Linked DNA regions of Arabidopsis thaliana. The protein of the gene in region 2 interacts with the protein of the main gene of each other region in a pairwise test. Each region holds a gene or a part of one and is shown on either strand. Other genes may lie near its edges.

The links. Proteins that work in one complex are often made in the same cells at the same time.
Region 1: the proteins of PKP-ALPHA (region 2) and PDF1B interact in a two-hybrid assay, tested with the Arabidopsis thaliana proteins (one large-scale study listed by BioGRID).
Region 3: the proteins of PKP-ALPHA (region 2) and AT3G01690 interact in a two-hybrid assay, tested with the Arabidopsis thaliana proteins (one large-scale study listed by BioGRID).

What each region holds. Positions count from the first base shown.
Region 1 is NC_003076.8:4,724,688-4,730,496, reverse strand, and holds PDF1B (peptide deformylase 1B), read left to right. Parts: upstream 1-1,750; 5' UTR 1,751-1,825; coding exon 1,826-2,039; intron 2,040-2,123; coding exon 2,124-2,262; intron 2,263-2,340; coding exon 2,341-2,533; intron 2,534-2,627; coding exon 2,628-2,738; intron 2,739-3,009; coding exon 3,010-3,072; intron 3,073-3,266; coding exon 3,267-3,368; 3' UTR 3,369-3,403; exon of another isoform or gene 3,404-3,458; intron 3,459-3,500; 3' UTR 3,501-3,856; downstream 3,857-5,809. Other genes in the region: ARFA1B (ADP-ribosylation factor A1B), read right to left, coding at 2-110, 237-355, 438-557, 788-858, 1,031-1,178; AT5G14650 (Pectin lyase-like superfamily protein), read right to left, coding at 4,169-4,561, 4,668-4,858, 4,937-5,144, 5,228-5,260, 5,348-5,494, 5,577-5,708, 5,785-5,809. UniProt on the Arabidopsis thaliana protein: Removes the formyl group from the N-terminal Met of newly synthesized proteins. Has a preferred substrate specificity towards the photosystem II (PS II) D1 polypeptide.
Region 2 is NC_003074.8:8,135,195-8,144,125, reverse strand, and holds PKP-ALPHA (Pyruvate kinase family protein), read right to left. Parts: upstream 4,942-8,931; 5' UTR 4,758-4,941; coding exon 4,155-4,757; intron 4,056-4,154; coding exon 3,965-4,055; intron 3,860-3,964; coding exon 3,666-3,859; intron 3,474-3,665; coding exon 3,352-3,473; intron 3,212-3,351; coding exon 2,733-3,211; intron 2,657-2,732; coding exon 2,355-2,656; 3' UTR 2,074-2,354; downstream 1-2,073. Other genes in the region: AT3G22961 (Paired amphipathic helix (PAH2) superfamily protein), read right to left, coding at 1,317-1,988; ARFC1 (ADP-ribosylation factor C1), read left to right, coding at 6,613-6,804, 7,403-7,762; AGG2 (G-protein gamma subunit 2), read right to left, coding at 8,459-8,543, 8,633-8,677, 8,758-8,810.
Region 3 is NC_003074.8:254,394-260,649, reverse strand, and holds AT3G01690 (alpha/beta-Hydrolases superfamily protein), read right to left. Parts: upstream 4,356-6,256; 5' UTR 3,898-4,355; coding exon 3,596-3,897; intron 3,332-3,595; coding exon 3,295-3,331; intron 3,194-3,294; coding exon 2,957-3,193; intron 2,863-2,956; coding exon 2,815-2,862; intron 2,733-2,814; coding exon 2,271-2,732; 3' UTR 1,954-2,270; downstream 1-1,953. Other genes in the region: AT3G01710 (TPX2 (targeting protein for Xklp2) protein family), read left to right, coding at 1-21, 113-178, 273-336, 414-659; AGP11 (arabinogalactan protein 11), read right to left, coding at 1,259-1,669; SEOR1 (sieve element occlusion amino-terminus protein), read right to left, coding at 5,404-5,775, 5,870-6,166.

The DNA of each region.
Region 1 (5,809 bases), on a different chromosome or scaffold from region 2:
TTTAAAATGGGATATTTAAGTTATTTACCTTGGTAGCGATGTTGTTGGAGAGCCAATCAAGGCCTTCATAGAGACCTTCTCCAGATGTGGCACAAGTGCTTTGAATGTACCTGTTAAAAGAAAAAAACATAAGATACATGTTATCACAATGTGATCAATCTAACCACATTTTTTTTTATTTTTCAATCTAACCACATTAATTAATGAAAAACTTTGTAGAAAGAAAATAACTTTACCAATGGCGTTGGCGAAGAGAGTGAAGACCAAGCTTATCAGTTATTTCTGCAGCATTCATTGCGTTGGGAAGATCTTGTTTGTTTGCAAACACAAGAAGGACAGCATCCCTCAGTTCATCCTACAAACATGGTATAAATCAAATTATAGGAAGTTGTTTCAGTCTAACTGTGTAACAAGAGAAAACTAGAAAGAAGGCAAACCTCATTCAACATGCGATGTAACTCATCCCTCGCTTCCACAACTCGGTCCCTGTCGTTGCTATCAACCACGAATATAAGACCTTGAGTGTTTTGGAAATAGTGCCTCCACAAGGGACGAATCTGTTTATGTTTTTACGGAAGTGCATTTTAATGTCAAATATCAGACAAAAAAAGAAGACGACAAACACTCATAGATACTAGACGTGGAGATTAAAATTTCAAATTGAGCTTGCACGATATGAATAACCAGGTTTTATGAAAGATCATTACTAGTCACACCAAAACCAGAGCAGAGCATAAAGCATCACGAGGACAGTATACCATAAACATGGCAAGAGTTAAATATGTACCTTGTCCTGACCCCCCACATCCCAAACAGTGAAGCTGATGTTCTTGTATTCAACAGTCTCCACGTTGAATCCTGGAAACGAAACCCTCCTTAACATTAAATTTTAAGAAACAAAACTTCCATGCAGAAGAGGATTACATAAAATCCGTAGCGGAGGATTACACACAGGTAAGAAACACATAAAATATTAATCTAAGTGTACACATCGACAGACACTGTGATTTAAGGAATCCTTAAACCTTACCGATGGTCGGGATGGTAGTGACGATTTCGCCAAGCTTCAGCTTATACAAGATAGTGGTCTTACCAGCAGCATCAAGACCTACCATCAGAATCCTCATTTCTTTCTTGGCAAAAAGCCGGCTGAACAACTTTGTGAAATTAAGCCCCATTTTTTTCCTTTAGCTAGCACCTACATCCAAAGCAAACCACAATACTCTAAAGAAATTCTCTGTATAACTGAAGACCAACAAAAGAAACACGAAACACTAAATCTTTATTGATAAACACGATCACGTTAACATTCCAAAAAACCTTAACAACAAAGTTCGTATAGATTAAAAAAAATATAGATAATGAGATCCTTGAACAAAGCCAAGTGACGAATAACACCTTTAGACCATGAACAAAAAGAAGAAGAACGTATAAACCAGATAAATCAATCGATCAATCACTTGATACTCTTAAGAAAGATGGAGATCAAAGACCGAGAAAATCAATATACCAGAGATTTTGAGAAACGATGATACAGAACTTGAATCGATGAATGGTGTGAGAGTTTGTTTACCTTTCGAAGAAGCTCCAAAGAAGGACCTGTTGTAGAGCAAGCCGCGAGTTTCGAAAGAGAAAATGTCTCTCCTCACAAAAGCTCTAATAATAGAATATTGGTTTTAAAAATCGTCCTTATAAAATATAAATATTTCGGAATTGCACCTTAAACAAAAGCAGAATTACAAAATGGTCTACTCAATCTTTTACTTACTCTCCACACAAAATTCAGTTTTTCCGCTTCGTCTGAAATTACTCTTCCTCTCTAGCCATGGCCGTCTGTAACTGCTTCCTCCAAGCTCCACCACTCTCTCGCATACTCCTACCGGTTTTATCTCGCCGAGCTACTACTCTCTCTGCCGGTTATGGTCGGCTCAAATCCACGGTCACGTTCTGCTCTACTGTGAACCGGACCAGTCCTCTGACATCTTCGGTCCGCGCAGAAGTAAAGCGCGTCTCGCGTAAAGACGATAAAGTAGCTTCAGGTAACAGACTTGCTTATCTATTATTGATTACTCTATGAGCATGTACTGTTTATGTATGATTGTAATTTTGTGATAATGTTGAAGCTACTGATGTTCAATTTGAGACGCCTTTGAAGATTGTTGAGTATCCGGATCCTATACTACGGGCTAAGAACAAGAGGATTGATATTTTTGACGAGAATTTAAAGAACTTGGTTGATGCTATGTTTGATGTTATGTACAAGTAAGTCCTCCTTATAATGTAAGTAACTTAGTACTTAATAACAGAGTGATACTGTGATTACATATGGCTATTGGACAGAACGGATGGCATTGGGCTCTCAGCACCACAAGTAGGTCTCAATGTTCAACTCATGGTGTTTAATCCAGCTGGAGAGCCTGGAGAAGGAAAAGAAATTGTCCTTGTAAATCCGAAAATCAAGAAATATTCCGATAAATTAGTACCGTTTGATGAAGGATGCCTCTCCTTCCCGGGGATCTATGCTGAAGTTGTTGTATGTCCACCCTTTCTTGACTGAATTACTTAAACCTTATTATTGCTCATTGTTTCTTGGAAACCGGTTCTTATGTGGTTGGTTTTGCTTTCAGCGACCACAATCTGTCAAGATTGATGCAAGGGATATTACTGGTGAAAGATTTTCAATCAGTCTATCACGTTTACCTGCACGAATCTTTCAGCACGAATACGACCATCTGGAGGTTTGTTCTCCACTTTTATTTTGATAACTTTGCTTGATTAAATATAGCAATGACAACACAGAAAGTACATCTATGTACAGTTGAATGGCTGCAGTCACTTATATTTTGATGTTTCGACATTGAAAAGTGTCATCATTTACTCACGGGCCTTATCTTCTTTAGTACTTTTGTTCACTTTTACTTGTTTTCATGGAGGTATTTTGTGTTACTGTATGTGAGTATCACTTTCAAGCTTTCATTTCGGTCTGATGGAACATTCTTCAAATTACAGGGAGTTCTCTTCTTTGACAGAATGACGGATCAAGTTCTTGATAGCATTCGTGAAGAGCTAGAGGTGAGTAAAACTGTAGCAGGGCAGAGTCTAAAGCTACAATAACCACTAGTTAAATTTCGTGGATAAAATTACCATTTGTATGTTAGTAGTGACTCGTGACTTTGGTGAACATCTTTTCATTCAGTAGTCTATTGTCTTAAAATGTTTGTTATCATCGTAATTCTATAATATTCCTGACAAGTTTTGTACTGTAGGCCCTAGAAAAGAAGTACGAAGAAAAAACTGGATTGCCAAGCCCTGAAAGAGTAGAAGCACGACAAAAAAGGAAAGCAGGAGTTGGTTTTGGCAAACGTTGATGAGACATTCTCGCTCAAATTCCTTTCATCTACGTGTAGGATATGAGTACAACTGTTTTTTCTGAGTTGAGGTTTTATTCTTTGTTCTCTTGGGTTTTTTTCCTGAAAAATTCTACTTAATTTCCACTGCAGGAATTTACTATGGTATAGGAAGCAGACAATGACAAGAGACACGTTTGCTTTTTAAATTTAGAGGAGCACATCACATTATGTGATGCAAATCTCCCAAATAGGATGTACGGTTGAGACACAGATCATATATTTCAGAATCTTATTTTGGTCTGAGTAATATATTTCTTCAGTTTGTCTGTCTTGTGCTGTTAGCTTGAGCTTTGGAACTGCGTTAAGAATGTTCTTGCCGACTAAGTTGAACCATGTCGTGGTTTATCCGTTGTTACAAAGTAAAATGCGTTAGTTGTTTACATGTGTTGGTAATTAGACTTTTGATATATTGTTTAGCTCTCATTTTATATACTTTCTTTGCATCCCTCAGATGACATTACTTTTCTTCGAAGAAGTATATTACTTGTGATGTGTTCTATCATAACTGGTCCAAATAGTCATAATTGTTAGATTGTTGCTTCACAGATGAAATCCTTCCTTAGGCTATGGGTTGGGACTAACTCAATAACTTCCAATTGTCTATAACAGAATGCAATACATTGCATGCCATATATTACATTGTGTTTGCAAATGATTTATAAAAACTAGTATAAGACAAAGGAAGGGAATCAAACCCTTCTTTATTCGTATAATGTGTGGCCTATCTTAACATTTCTACATAATTTCTTACTCTAATATCAGCAAGCATCATTATTAGACCGACTTGCAGCTTCCGGTGACTTTTCTGTTTTCAAACATTGTATTGGTGGAAGAGTTTTTGTCTTCAGTTCACCGTGTGCTTTCCAGCAGAAAGGATCAAGTGAACTTGCTTTTCCTGTGGCTGGCTTAAGCTCGATGGTCGACAGTGAGATTCCTGTGCATGGCAAGCTATCACTGCAGGCAAAGCGTACAGGTTCTTTGGTGTAGGTACCTTTTATGTTTATGTAGTTTATGTTTGATACAGCGACTGCTGAAGTTTCATTGTGGCATCCGCCACCATCGCAGTAATATTGATCTATTATTATTGGATTGGCTACGTTGCTGACTTGAATATTTGAAAACATAACTTGTTTTACAGACCCTGATCCTCCCTATCATTAAACATAACAGAAAGTTGTCAGCATCTTTGAATTGTTGTCGCATGCTTTTTTTCAGCTGTCTTTACCTCTATTCTGTTATGCAAATAACAGAATTTACCTGCCAGGACTTTATTCGAACACCATTCGTAGTTTCATGCATCGTGACATCACGGACAGTGATGTTTGAAACACACGCCTTTGTATTGTCCTTTCCCAGTCCTCCAATGCTAATTCCATGGCCAGGGCCACAGTCTACATCGTGTATGTTGATATTCGAGCATCCCGTTTGAATTGATATACAGTCATCTCCTGTAGAATGAAAGGAATTGTTATTTCTTCATCGTGGTAAGTTTCATCATAGCTTCAATAAGTAGAGTCTGTGGTTACCACAAGCCAGCGTGCTGCGATATATAACGGCATCTTGAGAGTTTTGCAGGTGGATTCCATCTGTGTTTGGGGAATCTCCAGGGGATGAAGTTGTGAAATCAGAAACTTGGATGCTTATGCAGTTATCAAACTTGAGGTGGGTTTGAGGGCTGTTCTGTATGGTTATTCCACTGACCGTAACACCGTTACTCCCGTAGAACCTCAAAGCCTACATACCAACCATGGTGAATCCAAAATAAATGTTGGTTTTAATTTGGCAATATCCATGTAATTTACTCAGGTAAAACTTACTGTTGGTTTGGTCCTTGGCATTTTTGTACCCATCTGTCACAGTTGAAAAAGAACGTTAGCAGATGTCATTGCAAGCTTTCACAATTTTGTTTAGCCAAGAAAATTGAATTAACTGTTTACCATGTCGTTCCACCATACTGATCCTCGTCCATCGATGATCCCTTTTCCTTTTATAGTGATTCCTTGAAGTGCTTTGAATTCTATCCATTGCAAGAGACCTGATCCCCATGCACTAGCACTCGTTGGAGCTATGATCTTTCCTTCTAACTACACAGTATCCAAATACATCAGTCACGATTATATAACTAGAAATGCTTGATTAACATTTTTTTGTTCTTGAGTAAATTACCTGAAAGACGATTTTCTCTTTACATTCTTTTCCCAGGAAGGAAACAGGTCCAACAAGGAACGTAGAACCAGATGGAACTAATAATGTTGACGCTGCCACCTTACAAGCTACCTGCCAAGCATCTTCAAAAGCCTGCGATACAAACGGTTCCATTATATATCGATGAGACGGATAGAAACGCAGCTAAACAATAGAAATGCTCACTTACCTTTGTGTCATCACTTGTCCCGTCA
Region 2 (8,931 bases):
TAAACTATATAAAAATTACGTTCTCTAATCTAGTGGATTAATTTAAACCACCAGCTTAGTTTTTATACTTGACGCATTCAATTATGTTGATATGTTTCTCATTAGTGTCGGAGTGTAAAATTGGTGTTGCAAAATAGTTAAAATCATTCTTTGAGTGAGTTTCACGGTTTAATTTCGGAATATTGAACATAGAAACGATTGGTCAAGAGGACCCCAAAACTTTCGGAAAGATATTAAAATGAACCGTTGTGACAAGTAAGTCCGTAAAAGTAGTTTATATCACATTTTAGAAATTTTATCAATTGCCAATTTTTTTTTTGAATAACTTTCAAAAAGATAAACAGACATTTGTTCTTTTTTTTTGTAATAGAAATACTACTTTTAAAAAGAAATTACTATTTGAGATAGAGCTACGATTTTTTTATTCTTTCGATCAACACTTTTTATTTATTTTAAATTAAATTTATCAACTAGTTCTGAGGGTAAATTTATATATTTGAACCTAAAATAGAGATATTCTTGGAAAAAATAACATATAAGTGTAGTAGTTCTACAAATTATACACAAATAAGTGATTGTTTTTGTAACTCACAGCACCATCTTTTTTGTTTCACTCGAGGCCTCGACCAAAAAAATTTGGTTTAACTTTGATTGGGGCGAACTAATATATCTCTCTCACCGGTCCATAGCAATAACAACATCAAAAAGCAATATATTGACGATGATTATATATTCGAAGATGTTGGGTTAAAACCTGCGGGCCTAAATGGGCCAAACATTAGAAAATAAGCCCGTCATCCTTAGAATGTAGAATCCCGAGTTTACGTAGCAAGCAAAGAAGGCATCAATGTATAAGTGTGTTAAGTGTGAAAATTGACGAAAATAGGCAAAAAGGACAAGAACATTTAAAGGCATTGTGTTTGTTATGTTTATGGTATCAGAGTCTTTTAAGAAGTTTTCATGAACTTTTTGATAACCAAAGTGTATCAGAAGTTTTCATAAACTTCCTAAACACGTTTTTAAATCAAGTGTGCATAAAAACTTTGAAAAAGGATTCATTACGCCCTCCTAAGAAAACAACGTTTTTTTTTTTTTTTTGGTGAATAGAAAACAACATTGGAAGACTCGAATGCAAAGAAACATAACGAGATTCACAATCACAATCACAATGTAGCCACAAATCAATAATAAAAAAAAAAGACTAGAAAAATAAAAGAAACAAAACTCTCTTCACTTGTTCACATTGCTCTTTAGTTCTTGACGGTCATAGCTTCGTTTTTACCTTAAATTCTTTCGCATCAGTCATCTTCGTCTTCTTACTCTTGCATCAGTCTCTTCTTCTTCACTTGATCCAGATCATACTGACTCTTTGAAACGTATTTCCCATTTAAAAACTCATCAGAGGATGATAATTCCTCTTCAGTTTCAAGTCTAGTCTTATACTCTTCTGCCCCCGCCTCAAAACCACGTTTCGGTTTTTTGAGTAAACGGGAATCAACTAGAAACAATATGAACTCCTCTTTAAGAGATGCGTGATCGCAGAGAATCACGTCGAGTTGTTCAACCAAATCCACAATATCACCGCCAAACACCAGCTGATTTAGGAACGCACCGTGTAAACCCTTTCCCAAACCTTCCACTTTCTTCATCAACTCAACCGTGCGTTCTACGTCTGATTTTGCCGAGTTACAATCCTTCTCTGTGATAGGTGAATCTAATAGAAGAAGCTGATGGAATTCTTGGAGCAGAGCGTCGTGGTTACGAAGAATAGAAGCGACTTTGGTTTTGAGATCGATGTAACTTAAAGACTTAGATCGATAAGACTTCATTGCATTTAAAAATTTAACGATGATTGTCTTATCATCCAACTCTTTAACTTTTTTCACGAACTCGCAACTCCGTTGAATCTCTTCTTCCGAACAATCCGACGGAGTTTCATAAAAATCTCTCTCTTGATTCTTCATCCGAGGTCTCTTGCAACTTTTCATGTTTGTTCAAATATCTTCTCTAATGGAGAGGCGATTCTAATTGTGATTATATATACACTATTTATAATATAGGGTTATGGTATATATTCGAACTCATCCTATTTGGGTTTACATATATATCCTAACAAAAAGATAAAACAAAAGGACTAAATGATAGAATCGAATATTTGAATAAGATTACTGATATTATTGAAAACCAAAAACAAACAGTACACACTACAAACAAAGCTTACACATTACTGTTGTTAACAAACCGAAGATGATGATGCCTCTGGAATCTAATGTAAGAGTAGTCTAAAAACAGTAACAAAAGTAGGAAACAAAACACTCTTTTGCGGGATTGCGAAATTGTATAAAGAGAGAGAATTACGGGACGTTCATTACCTGGATTGATTGCAGCATGTCCGAGACTGCGATCACGAGGTCACCAGATTTGATCATACCTCTTGATTTCAGTAACGAGAATGTTTTGTTCAAGTTGCTTTCCATGTCGTCTGAGAAGCTGAGACGGAATGGGATAAGTCCCCATTGTAGGTTTAAGCGTCTTCTCACTGAGGTTGTGGTTGTGAAAGCAAAGATCGGGCAGTCCGGGCGACATCGGGAGACCAGTGATGCCATGTGTCCGCTCGTTGTGTAAACGAAAACCGCGTCCACTCCAAGATTGTTAGCTGCAAGTTTTTGGATAGTAAAATGAGACACTAAAGACATATTGCCTTCTATGGAAAACAAAGAACCTAAATTTACCCATTTTAGCAGCTGAGTTACAGATCTCTTCTGAGATTTTGTCTGAAAATGAAGAGCCTATGGCTTGAAGCGGTACAGACTCATGGCGTTTCTCTTCCCTCCACCATCTCTCGATTCTTAAACTGACAGTCCTTAGAACCGTGAGCGCCTTGTCTGGGAATTGTCCCATAGCTGATTCTCCAGAGAGCATCAATGCATCTGATCTTTGTCTTACTGCTTCAGACACGTCGGCAACTTCTGCTCTGGTTGGAGTTGGGTACTCAATCATGGACTCCAATAGCTGTGAAGCGACAATGACGGGTTTGTTAAGAGCTCTGCATACTTGGACGATTCTCTGTTGAGCTGCTGGAACTTGCTCAAGAGGTATCTGAGCTCCCAGATCTCCTCTTGCAACCATGGCCCCATCTGATGCTAGAATAATTTCTTCCAAATTGGTCAGTGAATCGATACTCTCGATCTTTGCAATCACTCCAATTTCCCTGCATCATAGTTGAATACAACATCAAAATAAAACTATAACTAAAGATGGTGAATACATGACGCAAAACCCAATCCCAAAGTAGATCATATGTTTCCTGTACAGTAGTATGATGTGTTGATATTGAGCATGTTTACTTACCCTCCACGGGAACGAGCAGCAAGATAACTTTTAAGGTGATTAATGACTTCAGCCGACTTGACAAACGATACAGCAATGAAATCCACACCTTCAGCAATTCCAAAATCAATATCCAACCAGTCCTGAATATAAAGAATTGAGGTATCATCAGTGAAAATGAGTATGTTTTCCCTCAGGTATCATCTGTTTTGCTAACATGGACTCATCTAGTTTCCAAAAGTGTACATCTTCACCATTGCTTTGATCCCTCCCAAATTTACCAAGTAAAGTGAATCATAATTCAAAGCTTAAAGGGAAGATACAAAATTACAAACCTTGGAAGAAATTGTTGGAAGCATGGCATTACGCTCTCGTACAAGACTTCCATCTCTCCAAAACGTCAAGTTAGCTCGAGGAAGCAACAATCCAGGATCGGTACATAGACACTTAACATCAGGACCAATCTTCTCAATCACTTCAAATCTCACCATCCCACCATCAACCAAAAGTTCATCCCCAACTCTTACATCTACACCACACACAAAGACCAAATGATTCCTATTTCATACGCAGTCACCATAATATTCATCTAATGTTTTCACTTCCACTTTTACATAAACATAATTGCATATACCTTCAGCGAAACCATCGTAGCTAACACTAATGGTACGTTCAGGACGAGAAGAATCAAAAGCTCTAACAGTGAAAGTCCAAACCTCACCATCCTGTAAAAATGTCATCACCACCAAAGCTTAAACATCTAAATCACAAACACAGCAATGTCTACATCGAATTCAAATCAAAATAAGAAGAGATTAAACAACCTCTGCTTTAGCTGAAGCTTCACCACCAAGATCTCCCATATGAATCTCACTACCTTCAGTATCCATCATAATAGCAACCGCAAAGCCTTTCTCCTCATTAAGCCTCCGAACACTACGAATCACACCGCGGTGCCAATCACGCGTACCGTGACACATATTAAGCCTTGCCACATTCATACCTCCCACAGCAAGCGCCTCAAGCTGCTCAAATCCACAAGTCGCCGGTCCGATCGTACAGATCAGCTTCGTCCTCCTCGTACTTCTAAATCCATTCTCCTTAAGCTCAGCTTCCGTCACAGTATCAACCTCAATCCCAGACGTATCAGTCGTAACCGCCGTAGCGACAACGGATCTCTCATCAGACTTCACAGCACCAGTACCGTTAGGTGAGAGAAGTACTTGCGAGGATGATGATGAGGACGATGAATCGAGATCCGGTGAAGGAGATGATGACGAGGAGGCTCTGATGGAAGTGTATTTGATGGTTGTTAGAGGGAAGCGACGGAAGGAGATAGAGGAGAGAGGACGGTTGAATTGTGAGTGAGGGAGATGGAGAAGGTGAGGAGTGTGTGAAGGAGTGGAGAATTGAATAGACTGAGACATGGTTTCGCCGGCGACGGAGGAAGAGAGATCGGAGAAATCGAAATCGAAATCTCAGGACAGTTGGCTCTGAGGAGAATGAAGGCGGAGATATCGAAGTGTGAGAGTGTTGAATTTGGATTTTTTTTTTTTTTTCTGATATGATAGGACTTTGGGAGAGAGGTTATATTTGGAATATTTGTATTTGTATTTATATATATATTCTATGTTTTGGTGCCGTCGAGGCTGTATGTAAAATAAGTGTACCTACCCACCTAAGAATGATCAAATTAGATTTTGTGATTATTACTATTATTATTTTTAATAAAATATTAAATTCGACCAAGAAAAAATAAAGTTAGGATACATCAAATGTAACTTTTCCAAAATTGTTTTGAAATTAGATTATACAAGAGAGGTTTTAAGGACTTTTAGATGCAAACCATGTTTGGAGATTTGGTTCGTATCTACTATATTTCTCCTTTCAAATGATTGAGAGTTTTTTTTTTTTCCAGCTTATCTATTCACTTAGGAAGATGTGTGATAAGAATCAGAGTTTTATTGTGTGTTTTTTTTATTGCGTTCTCGCCAAATCGAATGAACCATTATTTGAAAACTGTATTAGAGGAAGAATATATGGATTCTGTTACAGTGATCAGAAGTAATAATAATGACTAGAGCTTGCCATATTGTAGAGAATCGTCACTAGAGTAGTGGTTTCGCTAGGGAGGACCAGACTGCCGACGAGTACTTACAGCTGAAAAACAAGTGCTCTCGTGTCTCGATAAGAGTGTTACATAACACACATGTTCGATTCAAGTTCACATTCCAAGCCTTCATTGAATCTAATGTAGAGAGTCGATTCCGCATTGCTAGCCATATACAAAAAGAGAACTATCAACTATGATAGGATCTAAAAAATCCAATTAGACTTTTCTAGAACTATTATATATATATATATATATATATATATATATATATATATATATATATTTTAAATCATCGTATACAATAACAAAAATAAGATTCGTTACCAAAATTAGCACAAATTTAATAATAAAATAATCAATATAAGCATTTAATTAACATTTCACACGATCGTATTATAACCATGATTTCAAATTATAATTAAATTTGTTATTTTAAATCCTCAATATAATTTACTTCTATTTAATTTTATATACTTCTGTGGGCCGAGAAAATGTAATTGTTATAATCTAAAATATATGGAAAGGCCCTAAGCCCGTTTGAGTTTTTTTTTTTCTCGTTTAAAAACATCTTTGTGGATTTCAAGTCTTCAACAATGTTCGTCTTTGGCGTCGTGGCTAATGGCGGTGACGTGTTCGGTGCCATTACGGTAGAGGCTGCAGCCGTTTGGGTAAGTAAAAGAAAACATTACTATATAGTTTTCATTTTAATATTTGTTATATTAAAAGTTATTAATAATTTAGATCATCATATTTACAGTTTTGACATTGTTTCCCGCATACTTTTCTTCTTCTTCTTCTCTCCACCCATCTGCTTTAAGGAAGGAACCTCAAAAGCTTACAAAATAGTAGAAGAAGAACTTTTTTTGATCTCCGATTCTTACCTCTGCAATCTTCAGATTCTAGCTGATTCAAGGTTTGATCACAAATTTCCCGATTTGTATATATATAATTTAGATTTGGTTAACTTTATCGAATCTGGGATCGTTGTATCCAAATCTGATCTGGGCTTCTCTGATTCAATTACTTGGGTTTGTAAAATTGATGGGTCAATTTAAAGGATGTATCTTTAGGGTTTCTCGATTTCACTCTGTTTGTAGAACAATTTGATCGTAAAAGTAATGATGTGTTTTATTTGATTAGGATCTTGTTTGTGATAGAAATTGGAGGAGATGGGAGCATTCATGTCGAGGTTTTGGTTCATGATGTTTCCTGCAAAAGAGTATAAGATTGTTGTTGTTGGTTTGGATAATGCTGGTAAAACGACGACGCTTTATAAACTTCATTTGGGTGAAGTTGTTACTACTCATCCTACTGTTGGTAGCAATGTTGAAGAGCTTGTCTACAAGAATATTCGCTTTGAGGTACTGGACTCTTTCTTTATTCATTTGGGTGAAGTTGTTTCTTAGCTTCTTATCTAGGGACGTGTTTTAGAAGTTTGAAACTTTATGGATGTTTCTTAAATTTGCCATTGCCATCTTTTGATTGTGTTATTGTCCCTAGCTATGTTTCTTGCTTGGGTGTGTGCATTTTTCTCGTTGAAAAATGGATGATGTTTTTGTCTAAGTTCTTGTCATGATTGGTTGAGAAGGTGTCAGAAACTCATAATGAACGTTTTCGTATGTGCGATTTATGGTTTTGTATAGTAAATTTTTGTAGATGTTGTTTATCTAGCTTGTTTGTTATACCGGAGGAACTGTTTGCTATTTCCCATTAGCTTAGTTTTTTTGCCAGAGGACTGTTTGGAACATCTTTATACAGTGGTCAAAGTCATGGCCTGAGATGAATTCATCTCTGTTTTATGACAATCTGCATGTGTTCTTATATGTCAAAACTCAATGATGAATATAAACGTAACTAAACTTACTAAAGTTTGAATTGTTTCCTGTCAAAAACTAACTGTTGGACACTGGCAATCGAATATTTGAGGCGATGTTTACTTTTATGATATGTTGTCTTTAGGTATGGGATCTTGGTGGGCAAGATAGGCTAAGAACTTCATGGGCAACATACTATCGTGGAACACATGCTGTGATTGTGGTTATAGATAGCACAGACAGAGCCAGAATCTCTTTCATGAAAGATGAGCTAGCCAGGTTACTTGGTCATGAGGATCTTCAAAACTCGGTCATACTAGTTTTTGCAAACAAACAGGATCTGAAAGACGCAATGACTCCTGCTGAGATCACGGATGCACTTAACCTTCACAGTATCAAGAACCATGATTGGCATATTCAAGCAAGTTGTGCGGTTACTGGAGAAGGATTGTATGATGGGCTCGGTTGGATTGCCCAAAAAGTTACCGGTAAAGCCACGAGTTAAGGGGAAACCAGAACTGAATCAGAGAGAGTACGTACTATTCTTCTTTGTTTCTTTTGTCTCCTTCATATGTTCTTTAACATTGTATCCTCTTGACTTTTATGTAACAAGCTTCAACTATTTTGGTTGCTCTCATTGAAACTGTGTCCAGAATTTTCATATATGGAAGAAAAAAATCTTGTTTTGTTTCAGATTTAAAACTACCACCAAACTCAAAATCCAAACGAACTAAAAACAAAAACAGAGCAACCATTAAAACAAGACAAGACACCATTGTAGCCTCTCTCAGAGCTCACCACAGTCTGCGATAACCACCGGCTTGGAAGGAATCCTGTTCAAAGTTCCAACCTCGTCTTCAATGCTCCTGAGCACGTCGAGTCCTTCAACAACTTGCCCGAACACGACATGTAAACCATCGAGAAACGAGAACTTTTCCAAGACAATCTGGAACTGAGATGCATTGGTGTGGGGATCACCGACGGCCACTGTGCTAGATTTTCTTGTGGTGGCGTGAATTTGGCACTGTGGTCTTCTTAAATTAAGAGACACATCAAGATCAATAGATTTTTTACTGCACAAATGAATCAATTTTTTTTTTTGCCAATTACATCAAATTCACTGCCGCGGGAACGTAAAAACACAAACTCACTCTTCTGGAAGAAGTAGAGACAAAAATATTTTGAGAGAAGGAAAGGAAGATCAAAGAATGGAGCAGCCACATCGTTTTGCTTCTTTAGGGCCTTCGAACCATTGATCCCATGTCGCATTCACCGGACCTGTTGTTCTGCAAGTAGTCACAAAAGCAAACATATCAGACCTAATCATCTCACAGTCTATTGAAATGAAACTATCAGAAAACAGAAGAAGAATTACTCGGGAAGAAGAGGATCGGGTTTGCTGTCAACACTGTCTAAGAACCTGCATCCATTCGAGAAACTAGTCAAGCTTGTGGAATGATTATTCGTGAACCGGATATCAGTTATGTAACAAGTTCTTACTCTTTGCAGGATGCTGATGCATTGTCCATCTTCTCAAGCTGCTCCAGCTCTTCCTGAATATAATAAATGAAGGAAGAAAGTTAAAACCTTGTAACGCTTTTAAGCAAGCATTTGAGTTCACAAATGTCATAACAGCTACGTAGACAAGAGCTTAAACCTCAAGGGATCAAGAGT
Region 3 (6,256 bases), 7.9 Mb from region 2:
ACCTTTATCGAGTAACACAAGGTAAAAACTGAATTAACTCTTAGAAAACTTCTTTTTACTTCCTTCATTCACGAGTGGTTAGAGAAGTAATCAGGTGTTACAGTAAGTGCAGAGGGAAGATAGCTCCTAATTCTTCTGCCAAGACAGGTCGAGGAAGATGGAATTTCCTCCCTGCGGAGTAAGAAGAACTGATCTTCATAAGAGTTTACTCAATTCAAAAATGTATAATGTGTACGTACCTTTTTAACCAAGTTATTGGAAAACAAAAGCAGGACACCGAGCTGTTTTACACCGTTTGGCTTAAGAACAGAGGAGAGAGCAGAGAGAAGAAAAAAGGCAAGAATAGAGATATTTTTGGTTTCTACGCTTTTGTCTTGTCACTTACCATCATTTAACTGGTTCTTGTGTTTCAGAAGCTAGAGGGGAAATTCAAGGAAATGGAGACACAGAACCAGAAGGCGGAGGAGAGGAGTGTGGAGAAGGAAGAGAGTAAACTAAGGCAAAGGCTATGCTTCAAAGCGAAGCCACTTCCAAATTTCTACAAACAGAGACCAAAATCAACAGACCAAACTAAGAAAGTAAGCTTACTTTCACTAATCGCCAAATGTATGTGTGAAGTACTAAAAGAAAAAGATAGTAGCCATCGTTTCTGTGTCTGAGAGTTCTCTGTGTGGTCTTTGTAGGCTCTGTTACAGTAGCAGAGAGGTCTTACAGAAACTCCCTATCATCATCTTTCAGAGAGATATTGCGCTGACTTAGCGCCTGTGGCTGTGGGGAGAACTATCAAAACCGGATTGCCTCAAAAAAGGATTAGTTTGGAATTGTTGACATACTGTATTTGGTTTTATTCCAAGAAGGAATATTGAATTTTACTAGATTGCATTGTATGAATATTTGTAAACTTTGTTTATATATGATTTGAAAACACAAAATAAGAAAGAAAGGGGGCATTCCGAGAATTGAACTCGGGACCTCTCGCACCCTAAGCGAGAATCATACCACTAGACCAAATGCCCTCTTTGAAAAATTTGTTTTTCATTTAATTTCTAAATAAACATTAATAAGTTCACAATCATCAAAAATTACGTAATCAAAAAAAACATAGTACAACAACGGTACGTAATAATAATAACTCCATTCAATCTCTTGATTAATATAAATCACTGTATATAGTATAGTTAGTTAGTTAAAGAGATACGGCCTCATCTCATAATGTGAATCTTATGATTCCGTCTCAAGTTTAATTAAAAAACAAAACTTAGAGAGAGAAGATGAAGAATCCGGCGGCGGCGACAGTGCCGGCGATGGAGAGCTTCACATTAGTCGTGGCGCCACTTTTGGGTGACTCGGCGGCGGCGGGTCCATCAGATGAGGGTCCGTCGGAGGAGGGACCATCGGCTTCGGGGGTAGGAGCGGGTGGGGAGGAGACGGTGGGTGCCTCGGCGGAGTCACTGGGGCTGGCTGCAGAGTAGTCGTCTTCAGGGGTGGGTTCCTCAGCAACAGGGGATGATGCTTTCGGTGCGGCGGCGGAGGATTTGGGTGCAGCGGCAGGAGCCTTGGTTGGGGATTTGGTTGGTGAGGCGGTGGGTGCAGCTGAAGGTGCATCGGCGGCGAATACGGTGCCCACGGCCAAAGCCAAAAGGGCAACTACGACAAATAGACGTGCCATTATTTTCTACTTTTTAAATATAGTTATAGAGATTAGTAAGAGGAGGTGTCCAAAGCTAAAGCAGTATATTTTATTTGTTTGAATACTGCAGAAGCTTCAGATGAAGGAAAACAAGAGGACAATGAGATGGATTTATATGTTTTGAAATTTGAGAAATTTTAGGAAAATCGATGGATTTGAGAAGAAAATGGGCATCCATTAGCCTTATTTTAGAAGTGAGCTACTTTTTGTATATATTAATTTTTGTACGTAGCAAAAGATAGCGAGATCCTAAAAATTGGATTTCTATTAAGAACAAACGATTGGGCCATGAATTTAGTTCAGGCCCACATGAGATGTGTGATCTTTGTTTTGGAACTTTCCTACTTACCACAAACACTAAAAACTCATCTAAAAACAGAGGATGGATATTCAAGCCCACCACAAAAGGTTGTTGATTCAAAAGGAGATGGCGAGAGAGATCCCAAATTGCATAAAAGATTACAAATCAATAATATGAGGAGCGACATCCACATGTTATTTTGTTCGGTAAATAGAAACAGTTATGTACTCTTTTCATCTACATACGTATTATACGTGTGTGAGTGTGAGTGTGTGGTTTTTACTCGGAGCGAACTCTATCCAACCTATCCACACTCTTCCTCCCCCTCTCAATCTGGTCAACGCTCTTCCGAGTCTTTTCATGGCAGTCAACGCTCCTCCGCGAGCGATCAAGTTGATCAAACGAGATCTTGAGCTTGCTGCTGCTGCTACTCATCTTCGACTGACTCTTTGGTGGCTTCTCTTTCTCTCTACGCTCTGTGCTCTGCCTCGGCTTCACTCTCCTGTCCATACTTCTCCTCGGGGGCGCATCTCTCACTCTCTCTGATTGGTCGCTGCTCATCCTCGGACATGGTAATCTCTCTACTGTTGCTATGAACTTCTTGAGGTGTCTAATGTATTCAGGGTAGTGTTCAAGATCACAGTGGTTCCCTCCTTTCACCCAGAGCGGCTCGTACTTGTCTTTGCAGAGTTCCCATAGTTGTTTCCCATGAGAACAATCCACTACCTCATCCGAAGTTCCCTGCACATATTTGAAACTGTTTGGATCCAAAAAGCTTATCAAAAATTCAAACGAAAATGTATCTATCTGAAACCTGACTTACATGAATGATGAGAACCGGGCAATCGACATATGGGATTTTGTCGATATTCTGCGGAAAAACACACACTCACACACAACAAGCTTCTTACATTACAATTTGGAGAATGTGTAGGATTAATAGAAAGAATTGGTACGTGGTCTACCTTGTAGATGTCGAACCAGTAGGTTTTCTTGACGGAATACATAACTCTTAAACCGGAGAGAATGGGGCTGTGAAGGACGACGGCTCTAAGTTGAGGCAACCGGGAAGCAAGATCTAACGTAGGTCCGCTGCCTACAGATTGGCCGTAGAGGATGACACCTTCCTGCTTAGAGCCAAAGGTTTCTTCAAGACACTTATAAACAGCTTCGATATCAGCATACGTGTTATGCTCACTCGGCTACAATCAATCATTTAAGAGAAAGAAAGATTTTTGAGAGTTGGTCCTAAAACTCATAATGGATCATCAGACCAATCAGATTGATGGGGTAAAGGACAAACCTTTCCAGTAGATTGTCCATACCCGGAGTAATCGTATCTGCAACATCACAACCAATAATATCAAAGACTGATTGATTCCAAGCAGATCCTAGCCCAAGTTTCCTTTTTTATTGGGGTGGTGAATAAACACTCCAAACATAAACAGAGCAAATACTAGAAACAGAGCTAGAAACGTGAGAATCAAAACAGGGCAAATCCTATACCAAATCAATCAAAAGAAGCATACAAAGATAACATTTTTAAATCAGCATCATAATAATAAAATCAATCGAATTACAAAGGGAGAGAAAGAAAAACAGACCCCATAAGATTAACCTTGAGATGGATGCTAAGCTCAATGAAGAGCTCATACATCTGTCCCAGATCGGCGGCGTTGCCATGGGAGTAGAGGAGCGTGGAGGTAGCCATCGGATGCCTCACGTACATGCCCACGATCTCTGTGCCTCTCCTGGTCCGAAGCTTTACGATTTCTACGTTTTCGCGGTGGGGGAAAGGGCTGAGAAGCAACAGTCCGGTGAGCTCGTCGGTCACCACCTTGTAAGACGGTGGACTCGGCGGGAAGAAGGCAAACTTCGCCGCCACCGATGACGTCACCCCTCCCATCTCCTTCCTTCCTCACTCCGTTTCTCTCTACACAGCTTGCATTTGGGTTTGGTTTATTGAGAGAGCTGCTATGTTTTGAGATTGAAGCTTTTCATCTCCTTGGGAACAGAGAGAGAGAGAGAGTATTAAGCAATACTAACAAAGTGGCTTTTTTAACGATTACTAGATTACTACATTAATCTTAATTGTTGCTTTTCATAAAAATTGATTTACGCTAAAAAATACTTAGAAGTACTTTTGACTTAAATAGGGGTTCGGTATTGGCTATAACGTATCTATGAGAATTAACGTAACAAATTATTTATTATGCGTAGTAATAAATTATAGGTAATTTTATCTCAATTCATCCCTAATATCATAATCTACATTTTGTACTTTTACATATTTTTAACTTATATTTGACATAATACGACGGCTAATCGAATAAAAATACAACTTGCTCATTTGAAAACTCTTTTGTACCTAATTCTCATAGATATGACATGAGCCACCCCTAATTTATGTATCAAAGTCAAGCAGAAGTGGACAGACCATTAAAATTAGCCTTTGTCCCCCACAATAAGAAGGGTTTACATAGATTTCATAATTCAAAGAGTACAATAGAGTTACAAACAAAGTGTTTTCCTAAGATAGACAAGGTGGACAATGGCATGTGGGATGATATGGTTGCTATTTAGATAGAACCATGCAATTCATTGGTTATGATTAGACATATGCCATATCTCTTTTGACATTTACTTAACTTTTTGCCTTTATTATTTAGACTAATCCATCAAATTACTTTGTGTTAAATACTAAAAAAAGAATGAAAGTTACAAATTTTGTGTCTAATTATAAAAACTAGCCCAAACGATAAGAGTAGTAACAATCCATTCTTTATTTGAAGATGGACCACACATGAAGATATGGATCATAACAAGGAAAATAAAACATTATATTGACGACATGAGGGACACATTGAAATGCTATAATTCACTGGACAAGAAAATGAGATATCAACAACTAACACAAAAAACATTTATAAGAAGATAAGCCAATAAATGACAAATTGATCAATTAGAAAATGATAAGAGTATATAAGTAAACCATTAGAAACTGGAAAGAATAAAAAAGAGTATGCTGTGGTGTGCTTCGTGGGGGTCCATTTACTAAAGTGGGATATATAAACATTATGAGAAGAAAGAAAGCAAATAGTTATATTTTGAATTGGTCTAATTTGACATATTCAAAATTGTTGTATTCATCAGGGTTAATTTTATTAACAAAATAAATTCAACATTTATCTATGCTATTAAGAGAAGAAATTGTTAATTATTGAAAATTATTAGGAATACTTCAATCGAACATGTCCCACAAAGGCCAAACCACACACATGGAATGACCAATTCTCTCTCATACAAAGATATTGAAATTCAGAAATTATTTATGAAAAACTATATAGAGAATTCAAATTACGTAAAACAAAAAGAAAAAGCAGCGGGAAGAGACGTGAGCTTATTGCATCATTTAGAAGTTGTAGTTCTCGTCTTCGTGGAGCTTTTCATCGTGACAACAAGAGAAGCTCATGTACTTCTCCATCGGACGCTGACACTCGAAGCAATTCATCTTCTCCGGAATCCGACCGCTCCGAGCAGTGATGTGGAAATCAAAGTGGCCGCAAGGTTTTCCGGTTTCACGGAGGACCTCATCGTGGTGGTGGTCGGACATTGCTTTGGTGTAGCCTTTGGTCGGGACGTGGGTTTTCCAGGTCCGGTCGTAAACACTCATAGTCCTCTCTATGGCACCGTGAGCGATCATCACTATCTCAGGTCCTTTGCTCAGTAGTGCCCATCCTCCAAGCTTGTCGTAGCTTAGTATCTTTTTGATTCCTTGCATCACCTAATCAACGTTTTCAAACACACAAAATCATTCATTAACCAATTGAACCGAACCGAACCGAAATAATTGAAAACCCTAGCTAGTCAACTCTTACATCGTCGTGATCATCGGCTTTACCGAGTTGAATCTTGGAGTACAACATGCTCTCGAGCCTAGTCCAGAAGAACCACATCAAGGCAGGTTCGGCCCAGCTATGGCTCAGGTTTTCAGACCTGATTACTTCACTGATACGCCTGATCTGTTCCCTGTGGCTATGGTTTCGTTTTCCGACGTAAGCCATCTCAAGGTTCACGTTGGAATCTTTGGCCGTTGCTTTGGCCGCCATTGTGAATCTCCTTATCCAGTCCAAGTCATCTCCTCCGTACAGGAAAATGTAATTATCCGGTTTTATCTGCAAATCAGACCCATCATTGTTCATTAATCACGCCTCGTTCTTGAATGAATGTAATTTAGGTCAAACCCTGCCTGCTCTGTTTCTAGA